4 linked regions of the Pelodiscus sinensis genome follow. The protein of the gene in region 2 interacts with the protein of the main gene of each other region in a pairwise test. Links are inferred from orthologs where the notes say so. Each region holds a gene or a part of one and is shown on either strand. Other genes may lie near its edges.

The links.
Region 1: the proteins of SDCBP (region 2) and GPATCH11 interact in binary tests that used the Homo sapiens proteins (3 or more experiments, as listed by UniProt). The two-hybrid records come from large-scale screens. The link is inferred for Pelodiscus sinensis from reciprocal best matches to the Homo sapiens genes SDCBP and GPATCH11.
Region 3: the proteins of SDCBP (region 2) and uncharacterized protein LOC102460411 interact in binary tests that used the Homo sapiens proteins (3 or more experiments, as listed by UniProt). The two-hybrid records come from large-scale screens. The link is inferred for Pelodiscus sinensis from reciprocal best matches to the Homo sapiens genes SDCBP and SREK1IP1.
Region 4: the proteins of SDCBP (region 2) and zinc finger and BTB domain-containing protein 8A interact in binary tests that used the Homo sapiens proteins (3 or more experiments, as listed by UniProt). The two-hybrid records come from large-scale screens. The link is inferred for Pelodiscus sinensis from reciprocal best matches to the Homo sapiens genes SDCBP and ZBTB8A.

The regions. Positions count from the first base shown.
Region 1 is NC_134713.1:137,256,870-137,264,768, forward strand, and holds the start of GPATCH11 (G patch domain-containing protein 11), read left to right. Parts: upstream 1-4,898; 5' UTR 4,899-5,035; exon of another isoform or gene 5,036-5,061; intron 5,062-6,799; 5' UTR 6,800-6,833; coding exon 6,834-6,880; intron 6,881-7,899. Other genes in the region: HEATR5B (HEAT repeat-containing protein 5B), read right to left, coding at 663-771, 2,302-2,513, 3,429-3,554.
Region 2 is NC_134712.1:63,002,385-63,009,777, forward strand, and holds the start of SDCBP (syntenin-1), read right to left. Parts: upstream 3,017-7,393; 5' UTR 2,757-3,016; intron 1-2,756. UniProt on the Homo sapiens protein: Multifunctional adapter protein involved in diverse array of functions including trafficking of transmembrane proteins, neuro and immunomodulation, exosome biogenesis, and tumorigenesis.
Region 3 is NC_134716.1:91,047,252-91,054,211, forward strand, and holds the start of uncharacterized protein LOC102460411, read left to right. Parts: upstream 1-3,945; 5' UTR 3,946-4,107; coding exon 4,108-4,120; intron 4,121-6,960. Other genes in the region: spliceosome-associated protein CWC27 homolog, read right to left, coding at 3,675-3,716. UniProt on the Homo sapiens protein: Possible splicing regulator involved in the control of cellular survival.
Region 4 is NC_134735.1:3,441,636-3,449,554, forward strand, and holds the start of zinc finger and BTB domain-containing protein 8A, read right to left. Parts: upstream 3,001-7,919; 5' UTR 2,866-3,000; intron 1,874-2,865; 5' UTR 1,821-1,873; coding exon 881-1,820; intron 1-880. UniProt on the Homo sapiens protein: May be involved in transcriptional regulation.

The sequences.
Region 1 (7,899 bases), on a different chromosome or scaffold from region 2:
GTTAGCCCGCCGGGCGCCAGGGGGCGGCCCCCCTCCATAGCCCCCGCATGCCCGGGGCCGGCGCCCCCCCCCCCCCCGCAAGCGCCGCGCGCCGGGGCCGGCGACCCCCCCCCCCCACCACAAGCGCCGCGCGCCCGGGGCCGGGGCTCCCCCACCCCCCCGCAAGCGCTGCGCGCCCGGGGCCGGGGCCGGCGCTCCCCCCCCTCCCCACAAGTGCCGCGCGCCTGGGGCCGGCGCTCCCCCTCCCCCCCGCAAGCGCCGCGCGCCATGTGCCCGGGGCCAGGCCCGCGGGCACCGTGTTGGGGACCACGGAACTATACAGATAGGACAGATGTTAAAATGCATGTAATTGAGTAACCATGTAACTGCTGAAAATTTCAGTGGTTACACACAGGGGGGCAGGCAGCTCCCCAGGAGCCAGTGCACATGGGAAGGCAGTTTTTAAGCCATCTCCCTACGCATACCAGGAGCCTGCATGTAACCATGAAGGTTAACCAATAAGCCCAGGCCCATCGGGTAACCATATACACTTTCATATCCCTAATAGATAGCATCTTTATGCCCAGTACAGTGAACAACTGTGAAGACATTTTAACTAAGAAGATCGTTGTGGCTTTGAAAAAGCCCTAAATGTGTAGCCCTACAATACCCTTGTAACTTACCTCTGCACTTTTCAGAGACTTTAAGAGATTATTAACTGTTTCTGGAAAAGAACTGCCCAGCATCCTGCCCATTTTTTCATAAAAAGCTCCAACACATGCAACTGCAGCCCTAAAAAGACAAGATGCCTCTTAGTAACCTTTTTGTTAAAGTTTAACATACAACTTAAATGGAAGCATCCAACTAGAAGTAACTATACATTTAAAAAATAAACTTCTTTCTGTTGTTAATTATCTTCTATTAACTATTCAGTCATTACATTGGTTGTTTATATGTAGCTCAACCTAAATCAGAGAAGAGGGGGCTCTACATGCAAACAGGGATGCTTCTGTGGGGGATTCGTTGGCAGGATTTTTTCCGTGGGTCCTAATGCTACATAGGTCCATATGTCCTAATCCTTGTAAAGTCAAGCATATAGTTAAATCTTTGAAGGATTAAGGCCTTAAATGGTGCAGAAATTGGAGTTCAGCCAGACAGCAGCAAAACTGAGTTAACAGGTGAGAAGTATGTTACTCACATTTTGTTACATATGCCCTGTCAATTGAGAAAAGATTTAAGTTGTTTTACAACATACAAGCTCAAAATGTGTAGAATGCTGCACAATGCAGTTAAATTTAGATATGCTAAAATCATTTGTTCAGTCAATTTTTTCACCCACATTTTTCCTTTCACTCTTTTTCAGGTACTAGAATAACTGGGTTGGTTAGAGTGAGGTTTTCTGTTTTGGGTTGGGTTTTGTTTTGTTTGTTTGGAAGGGTGGGAGCAAAAGAGGAGGGTTGAGGTAGCAATGATTTTAAGCAATTTTATATTTCCACTAGACATACAAATGGTTCCAGCACCAGCGTGACAGAAGCAGATCCTGTGTATACCAGGTCCATGAGAATGTGTAAACTGATATCACAAAGGAACAAGGCTTTCTTAGCTTAAAATTTTTAACAGACACAACTGAGAAGGCTCAGCAATAATTTTTCAATCACTGACAGCATCATCATCCAACCAGCTGTTCATTTCAAATTTATCAGAGCACATAACTCCTCATTAAGGACCCTTTGTATAAAAGGCTGAGAATCACTGTACTAGGATACCTGAAATGTGAGCTGATGTTAAACAAACACAGAGCACAGAGATTATTTATTCAAGAGATACATACTGTATGCTACTTTAGATAAATACAAACAGTGAACACTCTTTCTGAAGAGCACCTAACATTACTTAGCAAAAAAGATAAAGTCCATGTTAGTGGCTAGCCTGTAATTTCCTATGCATCATTTAATTTGGCAGTCAGAATGTGCCTATAAATAACTGAAAAATTCTAAGTAAAGAAATTTGTTCAACGTTTATTCCGTCAGGCAATAGCTGACCTCTGGATGACACACACATGTAAAAATTAGCCCAGATTAGGAAATATTTCCTTGCCTGGAAAAAACACTCTTCAAATCCAGACAGTAATATCAATTTTTGTTAGCTCTAATTCCTTTCCTCCATGCTTCCAATCTTGCTATTATGTCTCATTTATTTATATATTATATATGCATACATGTATATAACACACAGATACATACACATACAGATTAATGCAGATATATTAAATGCTCTATTAATAGCAAACATTCACAATTCTTAAGGCAACATTTTACTTACAATTTGGTTGGTAAATAAGCAGCAGTATCATCTTTACTCTTGATAATGTCATTACACTTATCAATTGTCTGAAAGACAGTAAATGTATCACCAATGCTATAGAGAGCAGCAAGATTTTTAGCTAGTAATTTCCGTGTGGGTGGCCCAGGGGAACTGCTAATGAGTCCAGTAAGTTGTTCCACAAGCTTCTTTTGTTTTTCCTTGACATCTATCTGTTAAAGGAAAATTTGTGTTGTTATAGTTTCTCCATTCAGGTGTAATTTCTACCTGTTTCCCACAACCTTCATGTAGATTTTTGTTTGTTTCAATCCAAAACAATCAATGCTATAGTATAGTGAACACTAGCACATACAAATGCTAAATGGAAAGATACAAGGTTGCTATTGTTGAGTTCTTACTGTTTTTATCATATATTATTTATTAACCATACAATATTACTTCACAAAGGATCCTTTAAGCTCCAAGGACTATCCATTGCCATTTTTCATCTCTTTCCCCACACCATTGAAAAGGCCCCACACTAGAAGAGAAGAGCTTGATTACCAAAGAACTATAGATCCTACTAAGTATTTTAGTTTGTAAGCCTATAATTTCAGACTCAGCACAGGTAACAATAAGCAAATAAGCACAGATATTTACAAAACTATAAGATAGACAGAAGTTTATATATACACTTATAGTTAGGACTCTATGTAAATCACAATTTAAAAATTTTTTTTTAGAAAAATTCAGGACAATGCAAATGACAAAATACTGAATTTCGTGGAGTTTTCATGGAATTAGTTTACAAATAGCATTAAGTCAAATTTCAAGGACAGAATGAATTTCACAAATAATGTTAGTCAATATCAAGGAGTCATTCCATCTTTGAAACTGACTACGGTACTTTATTATTTAAAAGACTTAGTTGTAGACTTTTCTTAAGATCACAGTCAGAGACATTTTCATGATTTCTGTACATTCCATGAAATTGTGATTTACGCAGGGGCGTACCTATAGTCACTCTGTGGTTTGGCTCCCAGATACTAGTGCCATTGTGATGGATATTCATTTTGAACCTTTCCTGTGCATGACATTAACCTGAAATTGTTTTAAAAAGCAAAATAGAGAAGGAGAAATAAAGTTACCTTGTTGGCAGCTACAATCACTTTATCCAGAAACCGCAACCACTCAAAAATAAAGACCGGCCTCTTTGCTTCTGTTATTTGAGCCAAAGCCTCTTCATTTAGCAACAGACTGTGAGCTAGCTCCATCCTTAATATTTAAACTCTGATTTCACTGCAGAATCCAATATTGTCTCTAAAATAAACATAAAATGTAAAGCAGTAAAATGCTTTTGCTATAATATTTTTATGTAAGGCAAATTAGTTTTCAGAGCAGAACTGCATTTTAAGTATAGTCTACAGTATCAGATCCCAATTCTACATACACTTACACTTGTTTAATTAAGCAGTGTCATAGAAATCAATGTGAACATTTATATAGCCTGCAGCAGTGAGCCTCTAAGCCTGGGTTAACAGAATTGGGCTTGCAGGGCTCATGCTAGGCTTTCAAACTAGTGGAAGTGAGCATTGACAGCTCAACAGCATATAACAGATGGTACACAGAGCAGGAACTGACTGCAGAAAGCCTTGAAAATGAAGATAAACAGTCTGTGTTTGATGTGCTAGAGAGGGGAAAGCCAGTGGAGGAATGCAAAGAGGAGTGACATTGTCAAAGCAACAGGCTAAAAAAATGATCTTTGCAGTTGCATTCTGAATGGATATGCATCATTTGAGAGCAGTGTATGGTTGAAAGAAGGAGCTGTCTGGTAGACAGAACAGTAGAGAGGAGAAAAGGACAGTCACAATTTCTATTCCCAGTTCTGCCACTAACTTGTTGAGTGACACTAGAACAAGTTGCTTCAGGTTCCCCATCTGTAAAATAAGTATAAAATACTTCTTTACAGGGGTGACAGGACAATAAACTCATTTACATGTGCGAAGCTCTCAGATACCTTAGAGACAGGGGCAATAGAAATACCCAGGTATGCAGGAATCAATATGATTGATGATTGTTCGCCTCAACGCGGTGCTCCGCACCAGTCACTATATGAAGAGCTGCCCCTTCAGGCCCTGCATGCGCCCCCTCAGCCAACAAGCCAGCTGTCGGGTACAGAGGGGTAGGATGCCGCAGCCTGCATCCGCACAGGGAGGTACAAGCCCTGGAAGCCACAAATCGCTAGGATACGCCACAGGCCACCCAACCCCGCTGCCGAGCCAGGCTCCCTACCCGTTATCCCTGCACTACCAGGTGCCGGTGTAACGAGTCTGCGCCAGCCCCCCACCCTCACACGCCACCTCCGCAGGGCCGCCCCACCACTGGCCCCCGCCACCTCCGCGGCGCCCAGGGCGGGTGAGTTTCCCCGCCGGCCGCTGCTAGAGCCCGGCCCCGGCTCCAGGCGAGCCCCGCACGCAGGCGCGCCCAGCATCGGCCAGGCCCGCCTCAGGCTCTGCGCGGCCCGCGACCCCCTTTCCCAGCAGCGCCTGCCTCCCCCGGGCCGCTGCCGCCACCTCCAAGGCCGCTCCTCTGCCCCGGTGCCCGCCAGTCGCACTCACCCGCCCGCGGCGGCCCCACAACGGCCCGGCGGACCCCGGACAGCAGCGCACCGGGCCGCCAGCGACAGGAAGGGCCGGGTCGGGCGCAGGCGCAGCCGCCGCCTGGGAGCCAGGAAGCGACTGAGCAGAGTGCGCAGGTCGGAGCTGGAGGGAGAGCGGCGGGGTGAGGCCCCGGCTCGGAGGGGCGCTGGGAGGCTTGGGGGGTGCATTGGGGGTACGAAAGGAGGGGCCCAAGAAGAGGGGTACTAAGGGAGGGATGGTTGGGAGGGACGGAGGATGCCGGGAGATGGGGGGTCGGGGATGCAGGAAGGCTTTGGGGGTGCAATAGGAGGGATGGCTGAGGGTGCTGGCAGGTTTGGGGATAGGGTGGCTGGGGGTGCTGGCAGGTTTGGGGATAGGGTAACTGGGGATGCTGGCAGGTTTGGGGATAGGGTAACTGGGGATGCTGGCAGGTTTTGAGGTGGGGTGGCGGGAGGGGATGGCTGAGGATGCCGGGAGGTGGAGGGGACTAGTTGTGCAGGCAGAAATTGGAGGTTGTACACTCTTAGACATGGAACAAAAGCAGCAGTCACTGACCATCCGATTGGCTTTCTTTGTATCTGATTTTCGGTCTGTGGGCCAGGGCAGCTCTTAATACGTTTATAAAGCAGAGGCATAGGGCCTGGGATCAGAGGTAAGCCGGGACAGCTGATTCCCGGCTCCCCCAGTTCCCCTGCTAGCCTCTGCTTCCCGTTCATCCTCCCCTCCCCTCCCCCCCCCCCCCGGCGGTGCTGGGGGGAACCAGCTTTTAAGCCAACTCCCCCCAGCACTAGTTCCTGCTCCCCCACCCTTGCTGTCTCTTTCTAATAGAGCCAGCAAGGGTTGGTGGGGAGGGAAGTGACTAGTTGAGTCATTACTCAACAGCCCGATCGGCATGTGCTTATTGGGTGGTCGACTAGTCACTTACATCCCTAATCTGGGGTCCATAGTAAGGATGTTAAGGACTAGCTGACTATCCATTAATAAAAAGTCGGTCAACTAGTTGATTCTCCTCCCCCCCTTGCTGCCTCTATCAATTCTCCCCCCCCCCCCCCCCAGCAGACCAGGGAGACACGGAGCAAAGCAGCGGAGGACCTGGGTGGGGGGACCGCCAGACGCGCCGCGGTCCCCCCACCCAGGTCCTCCGCGGCTTTGTTTCGTGTCTCCCTGGTCTGCTGGGTTCTCCCCCCAGCAGACCAGGGAGACACGGAGCGAAGCGGTGGAGCACGCGGGCAGCGGGACAGCCCAGACGCGCCGCAGCTGTCCCGCGGCCGGCATCCTCTGAGGCTTTGCTCCCCGTCTCCCTGCAGACCAGGGAGCCTCCAGCAGACCAGGGAGATGCGGAGCGGCTTTTCTCGCCCCGGAGAACGCGGACGGCAGGACTGCGGCGCATCTGGGCGTCCCGCCACTCCCATCCTCCCGGTGTGAGAAAAGCCCCGTTCGTAACTGAGGATCCGACATAAGTGGGATCCGCGTAACTCGTGGACTGCCTGTATAGACAAATGCATTATCAACACAACTGAGCTAATAGTTATGATTTTGGATGTGTTTGTTTTTTAAGATAAGGGTATAAAGTGTAACCCACCTAAGGCAACAGTAATAACCAAGGTGAGGCTGCCATAGAACTGTGCTGAGCAAGAAAAGAAATCAAAGATGATAATTGAAACATTAATTTCTACTGCTGGTAATTCTCAAAATAAAAAATGATACTACTGTCAGTCCCTCAGTCTGGTAGTGTTGGGGAGGGGAGGCGGGAGTGGGCACTCATCCAGTACTAAATAGAGCAAGCCTGAACCAGTGAGTTTCTCAGCCCAAATACAGTCATCTTATTTCAATTCATTTTAAAAAGATAAAATGTGTAAAACTATTTTCATTCATTATAGGTAAGAGGCTCTGAATAGGGTACATATATTAAACATGGAAGAAGAAGATGACTATATGTCTGAGTCTTTTACTAATGTTCAGTAAGTAGCTTGCCTAAGTAGATCATATACATCTGCGTCTAATAACAATACTGATTGTTTTGGAGATTTACTCTTGACATTTTCACTAGTGTTTATGAAGAGCCTGTTATCCCTGAATTAATCATTTTGTCAATTTCCAGGTACTGCATTAAGGGCTAAATCCTCTTTTCATTACTCACCCACGTCACAGGGAGATTTCAATGGGATGAGGAAGAGGTATTTTGGCCAAAATGAAAATTTAGGTCTAATTTTTCAAAAGTAGATGGTGATATTGGAATCCTCAATTTTTGAGTCCCCAGTTTGTCATCTTAAAGGGCCTTGTTTTCAGAGGCTGGTTGCTCAGTACTTTCTGAAATCAGCAGAACCCTTTGGTTAAGCACCAAAAATTCAGGCATCTCATATCATTAATTACTTTAATAAATTTGGCTTCCACCTCTCTTTGTACTTAATTTTTGCATTTATCATGCCTCTGCTCCCAAATATAGATTATTTATAGGAGGCTACAGTGAAAAGTTTAAGTACAATTGTATTCCTTGCATGTCCTCACCATTTCTGCCCATGATGGAAATGAGGCAAGATTGGCCACTAATGAAAATCTTTTGGCAACTGCCATTTCCTAGTATTAACAGATTAATCTGAGATCTTAAACAAGAAATAATCCATCTGAGATGTATAGTAGTCCAGCAGGCAGGATTCTTTCCTGAAGAGCTAACCTTTTAAAGTAGTTAGTTATAATATAGGCAAGCACATTTCTGTAAGCTGCAATCAAATCCTTGCATTGAACTGTATGAGATCCCCTTTGATATGTCAGTTGTACTGCAGAAGAGGCAAGAATGGAAAAAGAAATTTTGTAGGGATCAGGGAACATCCCGATGGAAACGCCATTTGAATTGCATATTAAAAATGTACACATTCTATTGTCAGTTATATTACAGGATACATAATACAGTTAATGTCATTCTTAAAAGCCATTTAAAGGTTAAAGTGAAGTATGTGTGTGTTTGCAAGATGTTGCAAAG
Region 2 (7,393 bases):
GACCTTGGGCTCCACATGGCACTGCCGCTTTGAAACGCCACATGCAGCCTGAGGCTAGCTGTGGAGTCTCCAGCTGGCCCAAGACTGCACACGGCGTTTCAAAGAGGCAGACCCTGGGCTCCACACAGTGCTGCTGCTTCAAAGTGCCCGCTCTTCCTCTCCCCCACCCCCTTGCTGCCTCTTTCTGCAAGGCAGGGGGGAAGCGACTAGTGTGTGACTATCCGATAAGCATTTGCGACTAGTCGTTCACATCCCTACCTTGGGGGTAGGAGACTTAGGTATAGGGCAGTCTCAGATGGGGGGGGGTACCCCCAGGCAGCCACTTTCACCTGCCTGATGATTATGCCTCTTTTCTGTATGATTTTATGCATCCCCATATGCATCGAGTGGGGGAGGAGTGTGTATAGCTGTTTAAGATTAACCGATAATTCTGTAAAATCGTTACTCATACAGGGAATCCTTTAGACTTCTGCTTGCACCAAGTAAGCTGAGATTCTCTATTGGCTTTCTTGTAATTTTTTTGGGCAATGTTATCTCATCACAAATAGGAAGGGAAGTAGTCTCTGCAATCACAAAGGGATGGGAGAATGGCCTGCGAGGCATGCTACTAGAATGAGCATGAAAGGATTTGAGAGCCTCTTATTTATAATGTAATCAGACTTTTGACAAACATTTGAACGATAAGTTAAAACATAATTTAACTGCAACCACAACATGAGTAATCATTGAATGGCACTGTCCAAGCTTCTAAAGAAAATTCTACAAAGAAATGCCATCCTTAGTAATGTTGGTTATTCTAACGGACTGAAACCTGCATTTATTTAAAGAAAAGTCATGTATGCAGCTGCAATTTGTCATAAAATGGTCAGAGTTATACAAATATTAAAAGCAACCAAGATGAAAAAACTTGAGAAAACTCTACACTGCAATTAGCTATTCACTACACTGTGTAACAGCAGACAACTTTTACCTCAGACTTCATAGCTTGCAGCTAGTTTGTTGATTAATAAGTTAAAATGAAAGTATGGACAGAAATCACTACCCTATTTATAAGTGCTACTTAAAATCAGAGAAAAACTGAGCAAGAAAAGGATTCTGACTTCCCACATAATCGCTTGACTTGATTTCTGTACAGAGATGACTCAGTCCATTTTTGTTTATGGAATCTTGCCTGCTGGTAAGTGTTGAAAAAACTAAAAAAGGAGGATTGGGAAAGTGACTCAAAGACAGGAAAGAAAATGGCAACTGAGCTAGACTACTTTAAAAAAGCTTTTCATTAAAACAAGCCCAAAACCTGATCTGCAGAGTACTATGAGGATATATTTTATTGATTCACCTCTAATATCTGTCCACTGCCAACAATAGACCAAGGACAACCAGCTACTTATCACCTAGTTCACTGATTCCACCAAAGCCATCATAAGGTGTTTACTATTCCCTAGAGATCAAATGCTTATGCTTATCAGATAGGAGTGGACTAGTCAATTCCCCTCACCTTTGCTGTCTCTATCAGAGGGAGCAAAGGGGGGAGAGAGAGGGAAACCAGGCCTTAGGTTCCCCACCCTCTGTTCTACAGTGTTCAACTTATCCATACATTAGAACTCTAAATCTCAAAGGCTATGTCTACACTCATGGCTTCTTGTGCGAATAATATGCAAATGAGACTAAGCATGGAATATCGCCGAGCCTCATTTGCATACCTAATGAGCCACCATTTTTTTCAGAAGAGGCTCTTGCGCAAGAAGGACCGTCTACACTGCCCCTTCTTGTGCAAGAAAAACCCTCTTGCGCAATGCCGTTCTTCCTGAAAAGTAATAGGTGTAATGGCATTGCGCAAGAGGGTTTTTCTTGCACAAGAAGGGGCAGCCTAGACGCTCCTTCTTCCGCAAGAGCCTCTTCTGAAAAAATGGTGGCTCATTAGATATGCAAATGAGGCTCGGCGATATTCCACGATTCGCCTCATTTGCATATTACTCACCCAAGAAGCCATGTGTAGACATAGCCAAATAGTTTAACTCAACAACTGCTACAGTAAGAAGCCAAGATACAGTAGTGTTTCAGTCTCAGGACTTGTCTGAACAGTGAACATCCTAGCGATAAAGATCTGTGTTACTAATTGGAGAAGTAAAAGTGATTTAGTTTGCAAAAACTAAGAGCATTAACTAAGCACAAAAGACTGAACTGGACACTGAATAGTTTGTACAGTGCCACTGCTTGCTACGACTCTCCCCCCCTTAGATAAGCATACCAGACCTATGCCAGTGACGCTGAGCGTTTCAAGGGGAGATAAAAGGTTACCATAGTAGAGACAAAAGAAAAAAAAAATCACCAGAGAGCCCATCGGCCCAGACCCCCAAGCCAGAGCTGTCTTATTTCGGGCGGGGGGGGGCAACGTGGGAGATTAGCAGGATTTCCCGTCGCGGTGTCTCCAGGGTGCCCAGGACGGGGGCTGGCCGCCTTGCAAGGGGCAGGATCAGGAGTTTCAGTAACGAGCAAGGACACGCCCCGTTCCCTCGCCCGTCCCGGTGGGTGCGCGCAGCGACCCTCTGGCCTTTACTCCTGGCCCCCCTCCCCGTGCCTGGCTGATGCACACACCGCGCAGCCGCAGGTACCGTTCGGGCCGGGCCGGGCGCGCTCGTACCCGGAGGGGCCCAGACAGGGCAGCTCCGGGCGGGGCGGCTGCGGTGAGCGAGCCGGGGGGTGATACCGCCCCGAGTGAAACTGGGGGGGGGAGCGCTACCCGCCCTGACACTCACCGGCCGGGCCGAGGCGGCGGCAGCTGCTAGTCTCACACCGCTATCGGCGGCTCCTGGGGACGCGGCTCTGCGAAGGGAGCGACGACGGAGGCTGCGGTACACAACGGCTCAGCGCGGGCTGTGCGCATGCGCCGGTCCCGTGACACTATGCAGGAGCGGGGGCAAGGAGCCTCTCGGCAGCTAGGAGAGGCTCCTGTTCCCAGTCCGGCCCCGCCCTCCCTGAGCGTCTGCTGCGGGGGGAAGCGAGCTGAGAGAAGGGACCTGCCCTGCCCGCAGGGTTGCGTTGCTTCCCCCCCCACGCCGTGACTGGCCTCCTGAGGGGCTGGCTCGGCTGCGCGAGACCCCACTTCCCTCACAGCGCGGGGGCGGGGGGAGGCTGTGCCCGGGCCCCCGGTTGCCAGGTGCGTTAGTAGCCTTTGGCTTGACGTGGTTTCTGTCACTGACTTACAGGACGTGCGGTTTTCGGTGCTGGCGCTCGGCCCCCACCCAGCCAGGCGCGTACATCGGTACCTCCCCCCCCCCCCCCGCGGGGTTAGCGAACTGGGGTTCAGACAGCGCAGCCAGAGCACTGCCCCGAGTCGCGCCCTTCTACTCTCGTAGCCCTGAGGTACGGGTTTGGCCCGGGGCTGACGAGGACGCGTGTGACAGTTGTGACTGCTGCGAGGGAGGCTTTCTCCATAGCCGGAATTATGGGATAATCTCAAGTGAGGAGCCAAAAGCGAAAACTACAGCTTGTCCCATGTCAGGGTCTGAATGCTCTGTAGCACCCACCCTAGCCCTATTTCTATTCCTGTTCACTCTCGATGGAATAGATGGGCGGAGTCTTCAGTCTTCCATCATGTATTTGCCTCCTTTATTCCTGCTTTTATCTTCTCCGTTCAGTGCCTGGGTGGCCATGAGTCAGTGTTTCTGTGTCCATATCGGTTTTTTAAGTATACGCTGTTAAATGGTTTACATCACTTACTGTGTTCCGGTTGTGTTGTGGTTTCACTTCCTTAGAGGAGGGACTTCATTTGCTGTTTTGGCTGCTGTGTTGTAGACAGTTTCTGTTGCGCATCTGGCCTTCACCTCCGCATCATCATTGGATGAAATCATTTGTGGATTTAATTTTTTAGTCTCAGAAACACTCTTGTCACTTTGAATGTAGATTGCAAGGTCTTTGAGAGTGGGACCTTTTTTGTTCAGTATCTAATTCAGAGTTATAATAATAAAAGCTAATGATTCTCTTACTACTTTTCTACCTTTGAGTGGTTGTGACTATTTTCTTCCACTATTTGATCTGAGGAAGTGGGTCTGGCCCACGAAAGCTTATAATCTAATAAACCAGCTTGTTAGTTTTTAAAGTGCTACATAGTCCTGTATTTTGTTTCAGCTACACCAGACTAACACGACTACAGTTAGGACATGGAATGAAAGGTCCAGAACCAGTTAAGTAAACCAGGCTTAGCACAAGAAGGAGGCAAGCTGCAACTGATTAGGCTTCCACATTGTAATGAGCTCAGTGCTGGCCATCCCTTCCACCTACACCGATTCAGTACAGTATTATTACACACTTATATAAAATACATTATATTGTAGGTTGAAATTTGTATGATTTATGTGTCATTTTGAATACACTGTATTATGCTTCACAAAACAAAGGTAAGACACATTTTTTAGCCTACGCCCAATTAGAGATGTTAAATTAGATTACTTAATTAATCAAATTGTTGAGGGGATTTCCATCAACTATTCGATTAGTTGATAAGGGCACCTCCGCCTTTGAACTATAGCAAGAGCCTTACTGATGGATAGCACTATTCAGTATTTTCATTATTGACTTGGACAAGGGGTGGGCAAATTCTGGCCCATAGGCTGGATCCGGTCCTCAGGGTTAGTCCCTAGCAGGCCCCCATCTCCAAGTTTACCTGAGCCTCCACAGGTATCGGAGGATTGCAGCTCTTGTTGGCTGCGAATTGCCGTTCATGGCCAATGCAAGCAGCGGGAAGTGGTGTCCTGGTCTGCAATGCTTCCTGCTGCTCACATTGGCAATGAACAGTGATTTGCAGCCAACTTGAACTGCGATCCTCTGATACCTGTGGCCAGCGCGAGCCATTTTGGCGTCCCATGCACTTGGCGCTGCCCCTGGGATGCATGGCCCCACCTTCGGACGCATGGCACATGTGCGGGCCCATCCCCGGGACATGCGGCCCAGCCTCCGGGCACATGACGTATGCGCGGGCCCACCCCCGGGGCACGTGGGCAGACACACAGCGCATGCGCTGCCCAGTCGGCCTAACCACCGCCAATGGCACACAGCCCGGGGCCGCCAATCAAATCAATATCTCAGATGCCTGTATACACATGCAAGGAGTATCGGAAATAAGCAGGAAGATCTTGAAGTGCTAATAAACAGACATAGTTGGTATCACAGAGACTTGGTGGGATAATACACACAATTGGAATACTGGTATAGAAGGGTACAGCTTGCTCAGGAAGGATAGGCACGGGAAAAAAAGGAGGTGTTGCCTTATATATTAAAAATGTACACAGTTGGACTGAGGTGGAGATGGTCATAGAAGACAGGCATGGTGGCTGTGTCTAGACTGGCAAGTTTTTCCGCAAAAGCCGGTGCTTTTGCGGAAAAACTTGCCAACTGTCTACACTGGCCGCTTGAATTTCTGCAAGAACACTGACTTCCTACTGTCTGAATTCAGTGCTTCTTGCAAAAATACTATGCTGCTCCCATTCGGGCAAAAGTCCAGCTCAGATTTGTTTTGCACAAAAAAGCCCCGATCACGAAAATGGCGATTGGGGCTTTTTTGCGCAAAAGCATGTCTAGATTGGCACAGACGCTTTTTGGCAAAAAGTGCTTTTGCGGAAAAGCGTCCGTGCCAATCTAGACGCTCTTTTGCGCAAATGCTTTTAACGGAAAACTTTTCCATTAAAAACATTTGTGGAAAATCATGACAGTCTAGACATAGCCGGTGAGTCTCTGGGTTAGGTTATAAGGAGTAAAAAGGGTTAGTGTCATACTAAGGATCTACTAGAGATCACCTACCCGGGCAGAGGAGGTGGTTACGGCCTTTCTTAAACAACTAACAAAATCATCCAAAGCACAGGATTTGGTGGTGATGGGGGTCCTCAACTATCCAGACATATGTTGCAAAACTAACACAGCACAGATTATCCAATAAATTCTTGGTAAGAAGGTTGAAAAAGCTACTGGGGGAAAGCTGTTCTAGATTTGATTTTATCAAATAGGGAGGAACTGGTTGAAAATTTTAAAGTTGAAGGCAGCTTGGGTGAAAGTGACAATAAAATCATAGAATTAATGATTCCAAGGAATGGTAGAAGGGAGAACAGCAAAAAAGAGGCAATGGATTTCAGGAAGGCAGATTTTAGTAAACTCAGAGAGCTGGTAGGTAAGGTCCTATGGGAAACAAGACTAAGAGGAAAAACAACTGAAGAGAGTTGGCAGTTTTTCAAAGAGACATTATTAACGGCCCAAAAGCAAACTATTTCACTGCGCGGGAAAGATAGAAAGTATGGTAAGAGACCACTTTGGCTTAACCAGGTGATCTTACATGTTCTAAAAATCAAAAAGGAGTCATATAAAAAGTGGAAACTAGGACAAATGACAAAGGATGAATATAAGCAAACGATGCAAGTATGAAGGGGCAAGATTAGAAAGGCAAAGGCACAAAATGTGCTCAATCTAGCTAGAGACATAAAGGGTAACAAGTAGACATTCTACAAAAATATTAGAAGCAAGAGGAAGACCAATGACTGGGTAGGTCCATTGCTCAGTGAAGAGGGAGAAACAATAACAAGAAACTTGGAAATGGCAGAGATGCTTAATGCCTTTTTTGTTTTGGTTTTTGTCAAGAAGATGGATGGTGATTGGATGCCTCACACAGTGAGTGCTAGTGGAAGTAGGGTAGGTTTAGAAATTAAAATAAAAAAAGAACAAGTTAAAAGTACATAGAAAAATTAGATGTCTTCAAGTCACCAGGGCCTGCTGAAATGCTTCTTAGAATTCTCAAGGAGCTGGTAGAGGAGTTATCTGAGCCTTTAGCTATCATCTTTGAAAAATCATGGAAGACAGGAGAGTTTCCAGAAGACTGAAAAAGGGCAAATATAGTGCCCATCTATAAAAAGGGAAATAAGAACAACCCAGGGAACTACAGACCTGTCAGCTTAACTTCTGTACCAGGGAAGACAATGAAGCAAGTAATTAAGGAATTCATCTTCAAACAACTGGAAGACAATCAGGTGATAGGTAACTGTAAAGAACAAATCATGTTAAACCAATCTGATAGCTTTCTTTGATAGGATAACAAGTCTTGTGGATAAGGGAGAAGCGGTGGGCATAGTATACCTAGACTTTAGTAAAGCATTTGACACGGTCTCGCATGATCTTCTGATCAATAAACTAAGGAAATACAAACTAGATGGGGCTACAATAAGGTGGGTGCATAACTGGCTGGATAACCATTCTCAGAGAGTAGTTATTAATGGTTCACAATCATATGAAAGGGCATAACAAGTAAGGCTCCACGGGGGTCTGTTTTGGGACCGGTTCTGTTCAATATCTTCATCAATGATTTAGATGATAGCATAGCGAGTACAGTACAATTATTAAGTTTGCAGATGAT
Region 3 (6,960 bases), on a different chromosome or scaffold from region 2:
GGGTGGGCAATAATTTTTGACCAGGGGCCACTTCAGAAATTTTTGAAGTGCTCCCAGGCCACCCAGGAAGGGGCAGGGCATCAGATAGAAGGGATGGGGCCAGGATACTTCCATGCTTCTGCACCCACAAACCCTCATTGGTCTGGGGGTAGGGGAGTGCATAAAGTCTTTGTCCCCCCCCAAAGAGAATCATCAGCTGTTCTGAAAAGCTGGCGGTTCCCTCTAAGTATTCGTGCCCCTGGCAGTGGGAGGAGACTTTGTATATCCCTCTTGTTGTCCCCAGATCAATCAGGGCCTGGGGAAGGGGAGCATGTGAAGTCTCTCACTCCCAGACCCCACCCCACAAGGGAGCACCCTGCTTAGAGTCAACAGTCAGCTGAGTAGCAGCTGGCAATTGACTTTAAGTGCTGAGGCCCTTGCAGGGCAGAAGGAGACTTCATGTGCTCTCCCGGCTCCCAAGCCCCAATTGGCCTGGGGATGGGGAGAGTGCACGAAGTCTCCTTGCAGAATGGGAGCAGGGTGTGGCACTTAGAAGCACCACGCCCCTCCCAGGGCGGTAGGAGACTTTGCTCACTCCCTTCTCCCTGCCCCCAGGCCAATAAAGCTTGGGGGTGGGGGAGCACACAGTGTCTCCTCCCACACTGCCAGAAACATCCAGCGCTTCTAAGTGCCACACACTCCTTGCAGGGCGGGGCAAAGTGGGAGGAGACTTCATGTGCTTCCCCCACATCCAGGCCCTAACTGACCTGTGGGTAGGGGAAGTGGCAGGGCTTCCATGGGCCAGATCAACTTGGCTCTTTTGTCCATTCCTGCTATAGTGTGTCCATTGGGGCAGCCATAATACCAAGGAAGTGGCCAGCAGGGCTGAGGCTCTGACATTTTGCCTGCCACCAGAAAAGGTAAGCAAGGCCCTCCTGCCAGGGAGACAGCCCCTGCCACCCTCACTCCCTCACCACAGATGCGGTAAGGGGGAGAGAAAGAGAGACCCTGCTGCACCCCCTGCTTCAGGAGGGATCAGGGGAAAGGGAGATAGCCCCCCAAATCCCGGGAAGGGCCAGGAGGGGAAGAAGAGAGCCCCCTGCCCTGGGTGGAACCAGGACGGGAGAGAGAGAGTCCCCCCATGACCTGGGCAGGGTCATAGGGGAAGAAAAGAGCCCCTGCCATCCCAGAAGGATCTAGGGGGAGGAAGACACCCTCCACTCCTGGCTGGGCCAGGAGGGAAGGAGCGAGCCCCTGCTTGCCCTGGGGACAAGCCAGCAGAGGGAGTTTGTAGTACCCGGTGCCCTGGGCTATCCACGAGGAGAAACCAGCAGCCACTCTGTCCTGAGCCCCCCTGTCCTGAGCCTGCCTCATCCACCCAATGCTCACTCTCACACACTCCCATGCCTCCAGCCTCATGCCCTGAGCTCCCCACATCCCCAAGGCCCTACCCTGACTCCTGGACCCCCACACTCCATGAGCCCTCTGCAATGAAGCACCTGGGCAATGCCAGATAAGTCTTCTAGTAGTAAAGAAAACAAAAAGCCTCCTCAATTCCTTCTTACCATCAGTGAGAGATGAAACTCCCCTATTCTCTTGTTTGCAAGTGAAGCAGCCTATTTACTCTTTCGTAGTCCTTTACAGTTGTTAACGTCAGTGAGTTAATAGTAGTTACAGTCCTTAGTTGTTTAGAGAGATTAAAATTCAGTTGAGAGATCTTCTCCTTCCCATGTACCTTTGGCACCAGGGCATGCCAAGGTCTCCAGGCTTCAAAGCCTCTGGATCCTGTGGTAAGTATATGCTCAGAAGCAACCCCCACACTTCATATATGAAGTGTTTAGGGCAGTGGTCACCAACCAGTAGATTGTATTATTTGTCGAGCCCTGGACATAAGCATCATGCATTCCCCTTGACCCACCCCACACTGATGTCAGTAAAGTTCCCCTAGTGATCTGCTTGCATAATCACAAAAAAGTAGTCCTTTCTGTTGCTGTACTCTATAGCAAGGTAAGCTGGTATCAAAATGGGGATTTGTCTAATGTATATCACAGCCTTGGAATCCCATTGCTACAAATCCATGTACTATGTCTTCCATATTACCAAGAGTTCCAAATTATTCTAAATTGCATACTGGGAACTTTACTCTTATCTCCCATAAATCACGGTGTGCATCATTTCTATCCCACCATAGGAGAAAACTTCCCTAAAGGTATTGTGCTAGACCAGGGTGGGCAATGAGTGGCTCACAGGCCAGACGCTGTTCACCACGGCAGGCCACTGATGCTTTATTTACCTGTGCAGCTGCAGGTACAGATGTTTGCAGCACTCATTGGCCACAAATTGCTGATCCTGGCCAACAGGAGCTGCAGGAAGTAGCGTGGACTGCGACACCACTTCTCGCAGCACCCATTGGTCAGGAACACTGATCGGGGGCCAATGGGAGCTGCAAATGGCCGTACCTGTGGACATGCAGGTAAATAAAGGGCTGGCGGCTTGCCCTGGGCTAACTGTGGTGAATTGCCACTGTCTTATTGCTCACCCTTTCACTATTCAGCGCTGGTTTGCAGGCTGGAATACCTACATGCAAGTCACCACACTTTGCATTGACCCAACTACTCTGCATGCATATGTTCAGTGCCAAGGCAAGCAATCAAGAATGCAAGCACAGGACTATATGCTCACACAGGCAATACGCTAAGCTAACTTGCACCTGCCAACAACTGTAACATAGTTGTAGGAGTGCTGGAACTACGGATGTGAATGGTTAACAGAGCAGCGTGCTGTGGGCAAGGGCGCTCCAGTCCAGCTGGAGCAACCTACACCCGCAGCCAGCCCAGCCTAACTGCTCCAATGTGTCCATGGTGAATGGGGCAGGAGGTGGCTCCAATACATCTGGTCTGGAGCTGCTCCCCCCACACCCGCCCCCATTTATGCGGTTGACTGGTTAAACATAATATTTATCTAGCTAGCTGACTGAATGGTATTTTACATTCCTAGATGGAACCACTTTATAGTGTGGGTGGCGATGATGGAAACCATGTACTTGTTGGTTATGGCTGCTTCAAGCCAGGAGGTGCAGCAGCTCTAGGGATGCAATAGTGTAGCCAATTAACCAATTAACTGGTAAGTAAAAGCTTACTGGTTAATGCTATATATTACACGCATTTCCCTCCTCCCCTGCCAGTAAATTTTTTAGCAGGCTGGCCAGAATCCTAGCTCACACCAAGTCCATGACCTACCCCCGCTGCAGCTCTGCATTTAAAGTGTATTAAGAGCTAGGCAGGCAGGCAAGCAAGCAGCCAAGCTCAGTTCTGCTTTGCACCAGGTCTGGGAACTCTGACCCCACCTAGACCAGAGGCAGCAGCCCAGGGCAGGCAGCTGGTCTCCGAGGGCAGCTGGTTTTTAACCCGGATTCCCTCATGGACCAGCTCCCACCTGGCACCCTGTGCTGCGGCCGCCTCTGTAGCCGAGGTAACGGCTCCTTGGGAGCGGGGCTGGAGTGCGCTGGCTGCCGGCCCCACCCCGGGGGACTATCAAATAGCCAGTAACAATAGGAATTGATGCGGTTTCTTGACTATTCAATTAACTGATACTGAACAGTCCCGCGGGCCCTTCTCGGCGCTGCCCGTCGGGCTCCCGCTCCCTTCGCCTTCCCCAGGGGCCTGGCGGCGGCTTCTGCTCCCCCCCCCCCGCACCTTGCCGTTGGTCGGAGGCTCCTGGATGTAGATGTTGCTCATGCTGGTGGCGGGGCGGGCACGGACCCGGCGACTCCGATTTCGCTCCTGGTCTGGCGCTGCTGAAACCCCGACTAGCTCTGCGAACCTCCCGCCATCTTGGACCCCGGGATTTGGCGCCGCGGCGCGGGGGGAGGCAGCAGGAGCGAGAGGCCAAACGCGGAGCCGCAGCACCCGCTCTGGGAAACGCCTCCGTCGTGCGCCCTAGGCCTGAGTTCCCCCAGCGACCCGCCTCCTCCATCCCCCGCACTGACACCGTGGTGTGATCCCGCCTCCCCTCCCCGCCTAATGGTACGGCCCGGTGTGCGCTGCCCAAAGCCCTCCGGCCGGGACGCTCGGGTGTCGGGCCTGCGTCCGGCTCTGCCCGGGGAGAGCGTGCGGGGCTCGTGGCTTCATGGCGCTGCCAGGTGAGGGCTCTGGCCCGGCGTGGGGGCAGCGGGCGGCCGAGGAGACCCTTGAGACGCTGGCGCGGGAGGCCGGGACGGGAGCCTGGGTGGTGAGGGCGTCCCATCGTCTCCGCTCGCCGAAACCTCCGGTGGCTCTTGGGGGGCCGGACCCGTCCTGGGAGGGTGCCCGTAGGTGAGACGAGCTCGGGGCAAAGGTCCAGGGGGAGACAACGCAGTGAAGCTTTGAAAAGAGCCGGGCAGCAAGTGGGGGCCGGTATCAGCCTAGAAAGGAAGTGGCCACGAGCCGAGTGAAGGAAGAAACCCAGGTTTCGCGGAGGGTCGGGTGGGGGGGGGGGGATAGTTATATACTGATAGCTAAGGCCAGAAGGGTTCATCATGATCAAGTCCTCTGGCATGACCTTTGCAGGCTACAGAATCCACCCACGCCTGTACGTTATTGAAGTCCTTGAATCATAATGTAAAGATGTCACATAACACTTGATTAGCCTCATTTACCCAAGTATCCTCTTTCTTAAGTTGTCCTTGGCTGTGTCTACACTGGGCCACTTATTCCGGAAAATCAGCTGCTTTTCTGGAATAAGCTGCGAGCTGTCTACACTGGCCCTTGAATTTCCGGAAAAGCAACGATGCTCTACTGTACAAAATCAGCCGCTATTCCGGAAAAACTATTCTGCTCCCGCTCGGGCATAAGTCCTTATTCTGGAACACTGTTCCGGAAAAGGGCCAGTGTAGACAGCCCAGTAGTCTTTTCCGGAAAAAAGCCCGGATTGCAAAAATGGCGATCGGAGCTCTTTTCCGGAAAAGCGCGTCTACATTGGCCACAGACGCTTTTCCGGAAAAAGGGCTTTTCCGGAAAAGCAGCCTGCCAATGTAGATGCTCCTTTTCCGGAAAAACTGAAAACGGAATAGTATTCCGTTTTAAGCATTTCTGGAAATTCATGCCAGTGTAGACACAGCCCTTGTGTATATCCCCCTGCCTTGGTAAATACCACTCCAATTTATTTGATGATGAGGATTTTACCTGTGGACGCTTATGTCCTAATAAATCTGTTAGGCTATTTCTACACTGCAGACTTCTTGTGTAAGAACTATTTTGTGCAAGAGTTCTTGCACGAGAGTGCGCCCACACTGCCTTGTGCTTTTGCACAAGAGCATCCATGGCAGTGTGGATGCTCTTTTGCACGAGAAAGCTCTGATGGCCATTTTAGCCATAGGGGTTTATTGTGCAAGAAACCCCTGTTGCCTGACCACACTGCCTTCTTGTACAAGAGCTCTTGCGTAATAGGGATTATTCCTTGTAGGGAGAGGAATAACTCTTGCACAAGAAGTTCTCTTTTCTGATGTTTTACTGTAAATTTACTTGTGCAAGAACACACGTGCAGTGTAGACATTTCACAAGTTTTTGTGCAAGAACAGCTGTTCTTGTGCAAAGAGTCTGCAGGGTAGATGTAGCCCCCATCTCTAAGGTGCCATAGGACTCATTGTTTTTGCAAACACAGACTAACATGGCTGCCCTTCTGAAAGAATTCATCAGTACATTAATATAACTCAACAAGTGATCTCTGTCCCATGCTGTCTGGTATGGAGGAGAGCTGCTTTCTGACCACAAATGCAGCAATCAGACCACTGAAACTTTTCTGCAGTTACAGAGTTACCCAATTACCTGCTTTTTAATATTCCTACTTGCTACTAGCAATTGTAAATGGGTCATACCCAATCTCTGCAGGGGGTGGATGGACAACAACAGAGCAGGGCAGTTTCCCCTGCTTTAAAAAGACAAAGTAAAGCTTCTCTCAGGAACTTACTCAGCAGCAGCCAACACACACACTCTGTCACTGTCACACACTCTCAGTCTGTGTCACAGTCTCTCTTTCTCTAGCCACGAACCCTTCCACCTGAAGCCCTGCCCCTTTTGGGATGCCTGAAACCAACCTGTGGCCAAGTACAAAAAGTACTTGGCACTAATTGTTTTAACATAGAATATCAGGATTATGGTGATAGGATACATGGTAGAAAAGTGACTTTAGGGATGTTGTAACACAGTTGTATTCTGTTTCCCTTTGCATTATGGCTCAATGCTTTTTCTTACCAAAATAAGTTAAAAAGTGAGAGAGGGACATGTTTTGGGCAGTGTTCCCTCTAAGCTGTGCAGGCAGCACAGTTTCACAGGTGATTAATCAGCCCCACCGAGCCAGGCTCAGGGCTCTGTGCATGGAGCTGACTGATTAATCATCACCTGTGAAGTTGTGCTGCCTGTGCATCTTAGAGGGAACACTGGTTGTGGGAACAGGTGATGCTCCTGATAGTAAGATGGCCTGTGAACAAGCACTAGATATGATTGTTATTCACCTTGGGGGAAATGATTTGGGGAACCTGTAAAGGGGTAGGCTCATTGTTCAGATCTAAGAGGGACTTGGGGCAGATCCTAGAACTTTCCCAGGAGTAAAAATTAATTGGTTGGACATGTTGTGACACAGGGTTTGGCAGGAAGCTGTGAAGCCTCCATGGGTTGACAAGAGTAGGAAGTATGAGAACAGAGAGGGGGCCAAAATCATAGATGGCATAAGGGAGTTGATGATTTCTCATCCTGCCATACTATATTGGACAATATAGGGTTCACCTGCAGATTTAGAAGTTGATATGTTTTTGGCTGATATTGAAGGCATCAATAGATTTCTGGGAACTGGGCTAGGTGTGAGGGAAGACAGTCAAGCTAATTGCTGGAGCCTCTGTCACAGATGTTCAGTACAGGTACTCCAATAGGGAATTGATAAAGTGATCCAATAAAATAAATTTAAACACAATTTAAAGAAGGTATTTAAAGGAATGGAGATGGGTGG
Region 4 (7,919 bases), on a different chromosome or scaffold from region 2:
ACTTAATAAGATCCTATATTCCTTTTATAGGGGAAAAAAAAAGCCCACTTTGGTTCCAACTTGAAAGAGTAGTCTCGGATATTCTCTGTACTAAAGAGAGAACTTTGGCTAAAAAACAGCTACTCAGTTTCTTTTCCATAAACAGCTCATAGTTCATACGATGGAATTATGTATGCACCTGACTGCTCTACATCCTGAGGATCCTTGTGGACAGCTCCGCAAAGACTTCTGCTCAGCATGCAACAATGGTAAAACACCACAAGTATTACAATGTAAAAAGGAAAGGATTGAAAACTACTATGAAGAGCTAATACCATCAGCTGGTACACTCTCCCTTGGAATAGTGTATTCAGTTCTGGACACCATATCTCCAAAAAGATACTGCAGAAATAAAAAGGAGTACAAATCAACAGAGCTAAAGATTTACCCTTGCTGAGAACCTACCCCAGGGTCCCAATGGTTTGCTAAATACCTTCAATGCATGATTTTGTGTTTCTGTGTCTACCTAACGGCACAGGGGTTAATGGAATTAAAGCGGGAGAGGAAAAAGTGAGAGCTCTAATTCTATGACACTCACCTCATTTTGGAATCCTTCCAAAGCTTGAGAAACCAATTCAGAACTTGGTGACTTACAGTAGAGAGGTACCGTTCATGCCATTACAGAATTGGACCACTTAGGGAATATTATTTTCCAATCCTGCATTTGTAGGCAATGCAGCTGAACATATTCCCTCCCCCTGCCTTTTGGACACAGTCAGATATTTTTCCCCATCGACAGAGCTGGTGATACATGTTTTCCATTGCAACTTTCACCCAGTAAAAATTCAAACATCATCTTTGAAAGAAAATGAGGAGAGAGGTACAAATGACCAACTCTTACCTTCAGCCCAGCTCCCCATTACACCTAAAATTGAGGGTATGTTGCCATACTGCTCATCGGCTTTTGAGGACTTTGACTTGCTAGAAGAATGGGGTGATTCGTGTTCTTGCTGTGTAACAACCAAGCTCCTTGGCATCACCTCGGACCCCTGACCATACTGGTACCCAGCATGGGCAGAGTCAATTTCTGTGTCAATTTGGACTTCCTCCTCAGATGGAGAAAGGTGGCTAGGAGGGTCTGCGGATCGGTCTTCAAGCTTGCTTGACTTATAATGGGGAACGTCGGAGGATTGTTGCAATCCCAAATGTCTAGTCTTTTTGATGGACTCCTGCCTTTGGTCATGTTTGGCCAACTGCTGCTGCGCATTTCTCTGCGAAGCTGGATAGTAGCTGAAATTGCTCCAAGCATTGCCACTCATCACGCAAGTCCCTTGATCAGGGTTTAAGTGAGAATGAGGGGGGCTGTTTTCCGTTCTCCAGTCAGCCCCATACAAGCAGGAGCGTTCCACGCCATTGGAGTTCACATCTTTGTCTGACAGGCTGAAATACCGATCCTTCTCCTTCTCACTGATGTCCAGGGAGGACTTGATGAACGTCTTACACACACTAATAACGTCAGTCATCTGAAGATAGCTGGCAGCCGACATGACCTCAATCACATTGTGGCCAGTGAGGGAAAGTTTGCCAGAATACACAAAATCCAGAATAACTGTAAACGTGTCAGGAGAAAAGGCCTGGAAGGTAGCAGTGGTTGGCTGACTCGGATCCTTTGAGCTCTGGGAAAGGAGCATTTTGAAATAACCACTAGTGGCAAACAGCACATTGCGATGGGCTTTGAAGACCTTCCCCTCCACCAGGATACAGCAGTCACAGAACAAGTCTTGCTTGCGCTGCTCATTGAGTTGCTGCAGGAGGTGAAACTGATGGGAAGAAATCTCCATTCCAAAAAAAAAAAAAAAAAGAGGGGGCAGGGGGGCAAGCAGGAAGCCTTGCTCTGCAATAAAGAACAGTTGCAAGCGTGACAGGCTGCATGTAAACCAGAGGGGCTGCCACCAATTCCAAAACCAGGTGTGTTTTTAAGAGCCCATTCGTTCTCAAACCCACAAGAGCCCAGAGAGGGGAGGCGCAGCCCTGACTCCACGCCGCATCCTCTGGGCAGAGGGGACCGAGGCGGCGGAGAGAAGCAGCCGCGCACAACTCGCCCTGGACACCAGCTCCCCGCACCGGGACATTGGCGGAGGGCGCCGCCACTCAGCGCGCGCGTCCAGCCCGAATTGGTCCTTCCCCCCGCGGGAGCCAGGGGCGCCCGACGGCGCCAGACACGCCCGCCCAGCGCAGGGGGCAGCGCCTAGCGAGGGAGAGACCGCGGCAGGCGGGGCCGGCCGCTTTCCTCCTCCGCTCCCCTAGCGGCCGGGCCACCAGCGCCCGAGAGAGGCTCGGCGGAGCTGCGCCCCCCAGCCGGCCGCTGCGCCATGCGCCCGGGGACACCAGCCGGCCGCTGCGCCATGCGCCCGGGGACACCAGCCGGCCGCTGCGCCATGCGCCCGGGGACACCAGCCGGGCGGACAGTGCCCGCTTGCAGGGCGCGCCTGCACCCGCTGGCGTGTGTCCATCCGGCTCCCGCCTCTCTCCCCCTTTGTGCAGCCCCGCCGCGGCTGCTGCCCGCCTCGCACCCCCCGGCCCCCTTCGCCCGGCTCCCCGCCGCCCCGCTCCCCAGCCAGCCCTTTGTTGCCGGCCCCTCGCAGCCGCGCCTCGGGCTGCAAATGGCGCCCGCCGAGGTCTCTGCAGACGCCGCTGGCTCCGGGGCGAAGAGGCGGCCCCCGAGAGCAGCGGGGCCCCGGGGGTGGCCGCGTCAGGGCCCCAGCCCCCTGCGCGCAAGGCAGCCGGCGGCAGCGCCCCACCGCCCCGTGCAAGCGGCTGGCTGCGGGGCCCGCTCCCAGCCCGCAACGCCCAGTCCGGCCCGCCGGCTGCGGGGCCGCCACTTACCGGCCGGGCTCCGGGCGGAGCGGGAGGTGGGTGCGGGATCCCCCAAAGCCCGGCGCGGGGCGCTCGGTGGCTCGGATGCAGCTGGCGGGTCCCGCCGCCCCAGCCCGCGGAAGCCCGAACGGGAGAGAAACAAAAGGGATTTGCTGACGTGGGCGTCGGACAGAGACGCCCGAGGGCTGGGGACACAATTAAAGGGGCAACGCACCGATTGCAGGCGCAGCCCAGCAGCTTCCGCTGCGCGCCTGGCGGTAGGGGCTGCATTTCCCTCTGCTCCCCCTCCTCCCCTGCAGCCCTCTCCAGCCCGAGCCGCTTCCTCCCGCACCTTGCTGCACAGTGGGGCCTTCGATGCCCCACATCCTTGTGTCTCACGCCAAGCCCGGGCCTGACTCTCACCCACTTTCCCTTCAAGGCCGGGCTAAGCCCTCAAGTTGTTCTCAACCCCTTCAGATTGTATCATGTAGGCCCTGGTGTCCCATTTCTTTCTCCCCCTGACTGAATGGCCACTCTGGGTCAGACCAAAGGTCCATGTAGCACCCTGTCCTGTCTGTGGAGGGTGGCCAGTGTCATGCAGCGGACAGAACAGGATTGTCAAAACTCTCAGAGGGGTGGCTGTGTTAGTCTGTAACTAAAAAAACAATGGCCTTGTAGCCCCTTAGCGACTAACCAGAAATACAGATCGAATCATGAGCTTTCGTGGGTACAAAGTTCATGATACTATCTATATTTTTTGGGTAGTCTCACGCCATAGGAACATTCGTTGTTGTTTTTTAGGTAAGCATCAAGTGAGCCCTCTCCTCTCACCCATTTCCAGCCTGACAGAGGTAAGGGGAACCATTCCTACCCAGCCTGGCTAACCTTGTGCTCTTCAATGGAAGACTTCAATGGGGGACTTGCTCTTCAGTGGCATTTTGAGCTCCAGTCCTTTATCACCCCTTGCATGCTCCACTTGACATCCTTCCTGGATGCTTGAAGAGTATTCCTGTAGCACCTTCGAGACTAACAAAAATATATGTATAGTATCCTGAGCTTTCATGGGCAAAACCCACTTCCTCATATAGCTCACGATACTATATATATTTTGTTAGTATTGAAGGGTATGTCTACGCAGCAGGGCAAAAGTCGAATTAAACCATGCAGCTTCAGTTATGTCAACTGCATAGCTGAAGTTGAAATAATGTAATTTGGCTTTTGGCTCTGTCTCCACAGCAGGATGTCGAAGGAAGAACACTCTTCCTCTGATTTCCCTTACTCCTCCTGAAATGAGGGTTACAGGAGGCAGAGTAAGAAGTCCTCCAGCTCGCCTTATTTTGAAATAACGGCTTGTGGTGTAGACGCATATTTTGTTATTTTGAAATCACATCAGTTATTCCGAAATAACGCTGCTGCGTAGACGTCCCCTTCTACTGCTACTCCTTGTTTTTAAAGTTACAGATTATACAGCTACCCCTCTGAGACATCAAAAGAGTATAGGATGCTTCCTTCCTTCCTTTTCACACTTAACTGAGCACACCCTGGGTTGACAGGATGCCCCAGTTCCTTACCTGCCATGATACAATACAATAAAACAATTATGATTTTATACATGAAATAAATGCATTAGCTGCCTGCAAAAAGGGCCAGATTTTATGTTGTTTGGTTTGTCAGAGAACAGATACACAGACTGTACATATATACCGCACATAGGGGTGTAATCCTTGTTTACAAAATTATACACCAAATTCTACAGAGCACATTCTGTTTGTATCTAACAAAACACAACCTGAAGTTGCCAACTCCGCCCTTAAGAGTACTGGTTTGTGAGTCCCTGTATTTATGTGTAAATGGAGAGCTGTTGACAAAAGGAGACATAATTCTTCATTTGTGGTAAATAAACTAACACCAAGTACTTAGATGAGTATCATCATCACAAATTTCTCTCTGTGCTTTTGCACTGCTTCAAAATGAATTAGCGGCTAACTGTGTAACATAGGGCAAATCCTGCAGTCCTTAGTCAAAACAGCTCACATTTACTCAAATTGCAGGAGTGGGGGGATTGTAACAGAGTGAAGACTGAAGAATACGAATCTTCCCTGAAAGGTCAGAAATAATCTATAATGAATCTGCAAGTGCCAAAAAGAAAGATAGACACAAAACAGTCGGACTGGAAGCTACTGTCTTCCACAACTTCAGTTTCCTGATTCTGTAGTGTGCCGTTCTAAATTTATAATTCAAATGAATGAATGGCAGATTAGAGTGGGACATGGTTAAATTTAGGTCTAAAAGAGAATGGCATTTGTCATATGAGTAGAAACTACATTGGAGAAATATTTCATCTAGGAACTTTGTTTCACAGAGGGCAATGGCATGGATATGTGATTGGTATGTAATAGAATGTAATATTTTCTCCTTTGAAGTTAAATGTTTTTATTACTTGCAGCTTTATGCATTCTTAAATACAACATGTATTAACAGTGTATCTATTTTATTAGGCAATAATCTGAGGAATAATTGCTATAACATTTTCATTCAGAATTAATAAATATTGTTTTTATTTTCTAACCACAGACCTGATCCTACAAAGACTTGCTTCCTATGAGTTCAGCAGGTCTACAAAGGTTCTTGAAGTTAAGCATATGCTTAGGTTTTTCAGAACCACAGCCTACATTTGTCCTAGTAGCCAGACATTCCTGTGAAACAGTGACAATAGAGAACAAAATCGATGTTCTGGAAGATAATATCCCATCGTTTTACTTTGGATAAAATTACAGGAATGTTACTTTACATGTGTGAGAAGACAGATTAAAAAGATTGAGACTTTTTAGCTTAGAAAAGAAGAGACTAATGGGGGATATGATAGAGGTCTATAAAATCATGGCGGATGTAGAGAAAGCGAATAAGGAAAAGTTATTTACTTGTTCCCATAACACAAGAACTAGCTGTCACCAAATGAAATAAATAGATAGCAGGTTTAAAACAAATGAAGTCGATGTCAGGTTGGCTGTCAGTTTCTAGCGGAGTATCCCAAGGATCTGTTCTAGGACCAGTTTTGTTCAACATTTTTATTAATGACCGGGATGAGGGGATGGATTGCACCCTCAGCAAGTTTGCACTTGACACTAAGCTAGCAGGAGAGATAGATACGCTGGAGGGCAGGGATAGGGTCCAGAGTGACCTAGACAGATTAGAGGATTGGGCCAAAAGAAATCTCATGAGGTTCAACAAGGACAAGTGTAGAGTCCTGCACTTGGGATGAAAGAATCCCCAGCATTGTTACAGGCTGGGGACCGAATAGCTAAGTAGCAGTTCTGCAGAAAAGGACCTGGGGATTACAGTGGATGAGAAGCTGGATATGAGTCAGCAGTGCGCCCTTGTAGCCAAGAAGGCTAATGCCATATTGGGTGCATTAGGAGCAGCATTGTCAGCAGATCTAGAGAAGTGATTATTCCCCTTTATTCAGCTCTGGTGAGGCCACACCTGGAGTATTGTGTCCAGTTCTGCCCCCCTCCTCCCCATAGAAAGGATGTGGACGCATTGGAGAGGGTCCAGCGGAGGGCAACCAAAATGGTTAGGGGGCTGGAGCATATGACCTATGAGGTTAGGCTGAGGGATTTGGGTTTGTTTAGTCTGCAGAAGAGTGAGGGGGGATTTGAGAGCAGCCTTCAGTTTCCTGAAGGGAGGTTCCAAAGAGGATGGAAAGAGGCTGTTCACAGTAGTGACAGATGACAGAACAAGGAGCAATGGTCTCAAGTTACAATGGGAGAGGTCTAGGTTGGAGATTAGGAAAAACTATTTCATTAGGAGGGTGGTGAAGTACTGGAATGAGTTATCTAGGGAGGTGATGGAATCTCCATCCCTAGAGGTTTTTAAGTCTCGGCTTGACAAAGCACTGACTGGGTTGATTTAGTTAGGATTAGTCCTGCTTTGGACAGGGGGCTGGACTTGATGACCTCCTGAGGTCTCTTCCAGCTCTATGATTCTATGAAGTATTTATTCACGCAACATAGTCAACCTGTGGAACTTCTTGCCAGAGGATGTTGTGAAGACCAGGACTTTAACAGGGTTAAAAAAAACCTAGATAAATTCATGAAGGATAGGTCCATCAATGGCTATTATCAAGGATGGGCAGGGAAGGTGTCTCTAGCCTCTGTTTGTCAGAGGCTGGGAATGGTAACGGGGTGGGATCACTTGATGATTACCTGGACTGGTGCACTTCTTGCAAAGAAGATATTTGTTCTTTGTACATAATTTTTTTCAATGGGCACCATGCAGGTTTTAGTTTCTATAGCTTCTTTATTTAGTCCTAGGTCTCATGTTTCTCACTTTTTGAGTCTGCAGGAGTTGGCGTTGGATGATTGGTAGGAAGGTCTCTTCTAGGGGTGGAACTATTGCATCAAAACCAGTAGCTCAGAAACCAGACAAATAGTCTTATCTTGTAAACTGGCTCTAGAAAAAGGAGATTGAAATCTCCTTCTCTTCATTAAGATGCTAATAATTAGCATACATTTTACAAAGTGTGTCTTTCTTGGTTTCACTTAGATATAAAACTAGAATGAATACCAGAAAATGCTAAAAGATCTCAGACATGTATAAAATATATTTGTCTTGAAAATCCAAGAACTCAAATACAGTATTTTTTTTCTTTAAATGTTATGTGTTTGCTAAAGAAAAGTTCTGCAGCTAATATACAAAACAAATTGCTGTAATAAGGAAGACACACATGAACACACATTCATTTATTTGAAAGATAAAATTTGATGGATGAGTTGTAACAGATTTTTTCCAAACTAAGAAAATATAAGTGCCATATGCTTATACTGCAATTCTTTCAAAATACAGAACATAAGAAAAGTTTAATGGTGCCCTTGGCTACAGAGCAGTTTGAGTGACACAATTCTCTTTCTGCTTCACAATGGAAGAATTTTTTAATTCTCATTCCATAGTTCTGGATGAAAAATGTATCCAATGAAAAAATATGAACAGGAATAATAACCCTTAGAATGTGTGCAAAAACTATTGCTTTTTAAAATGGTATAATGTTTCTTAGAGAGAAAGTATTGGTGAGAATAATGTTTTTT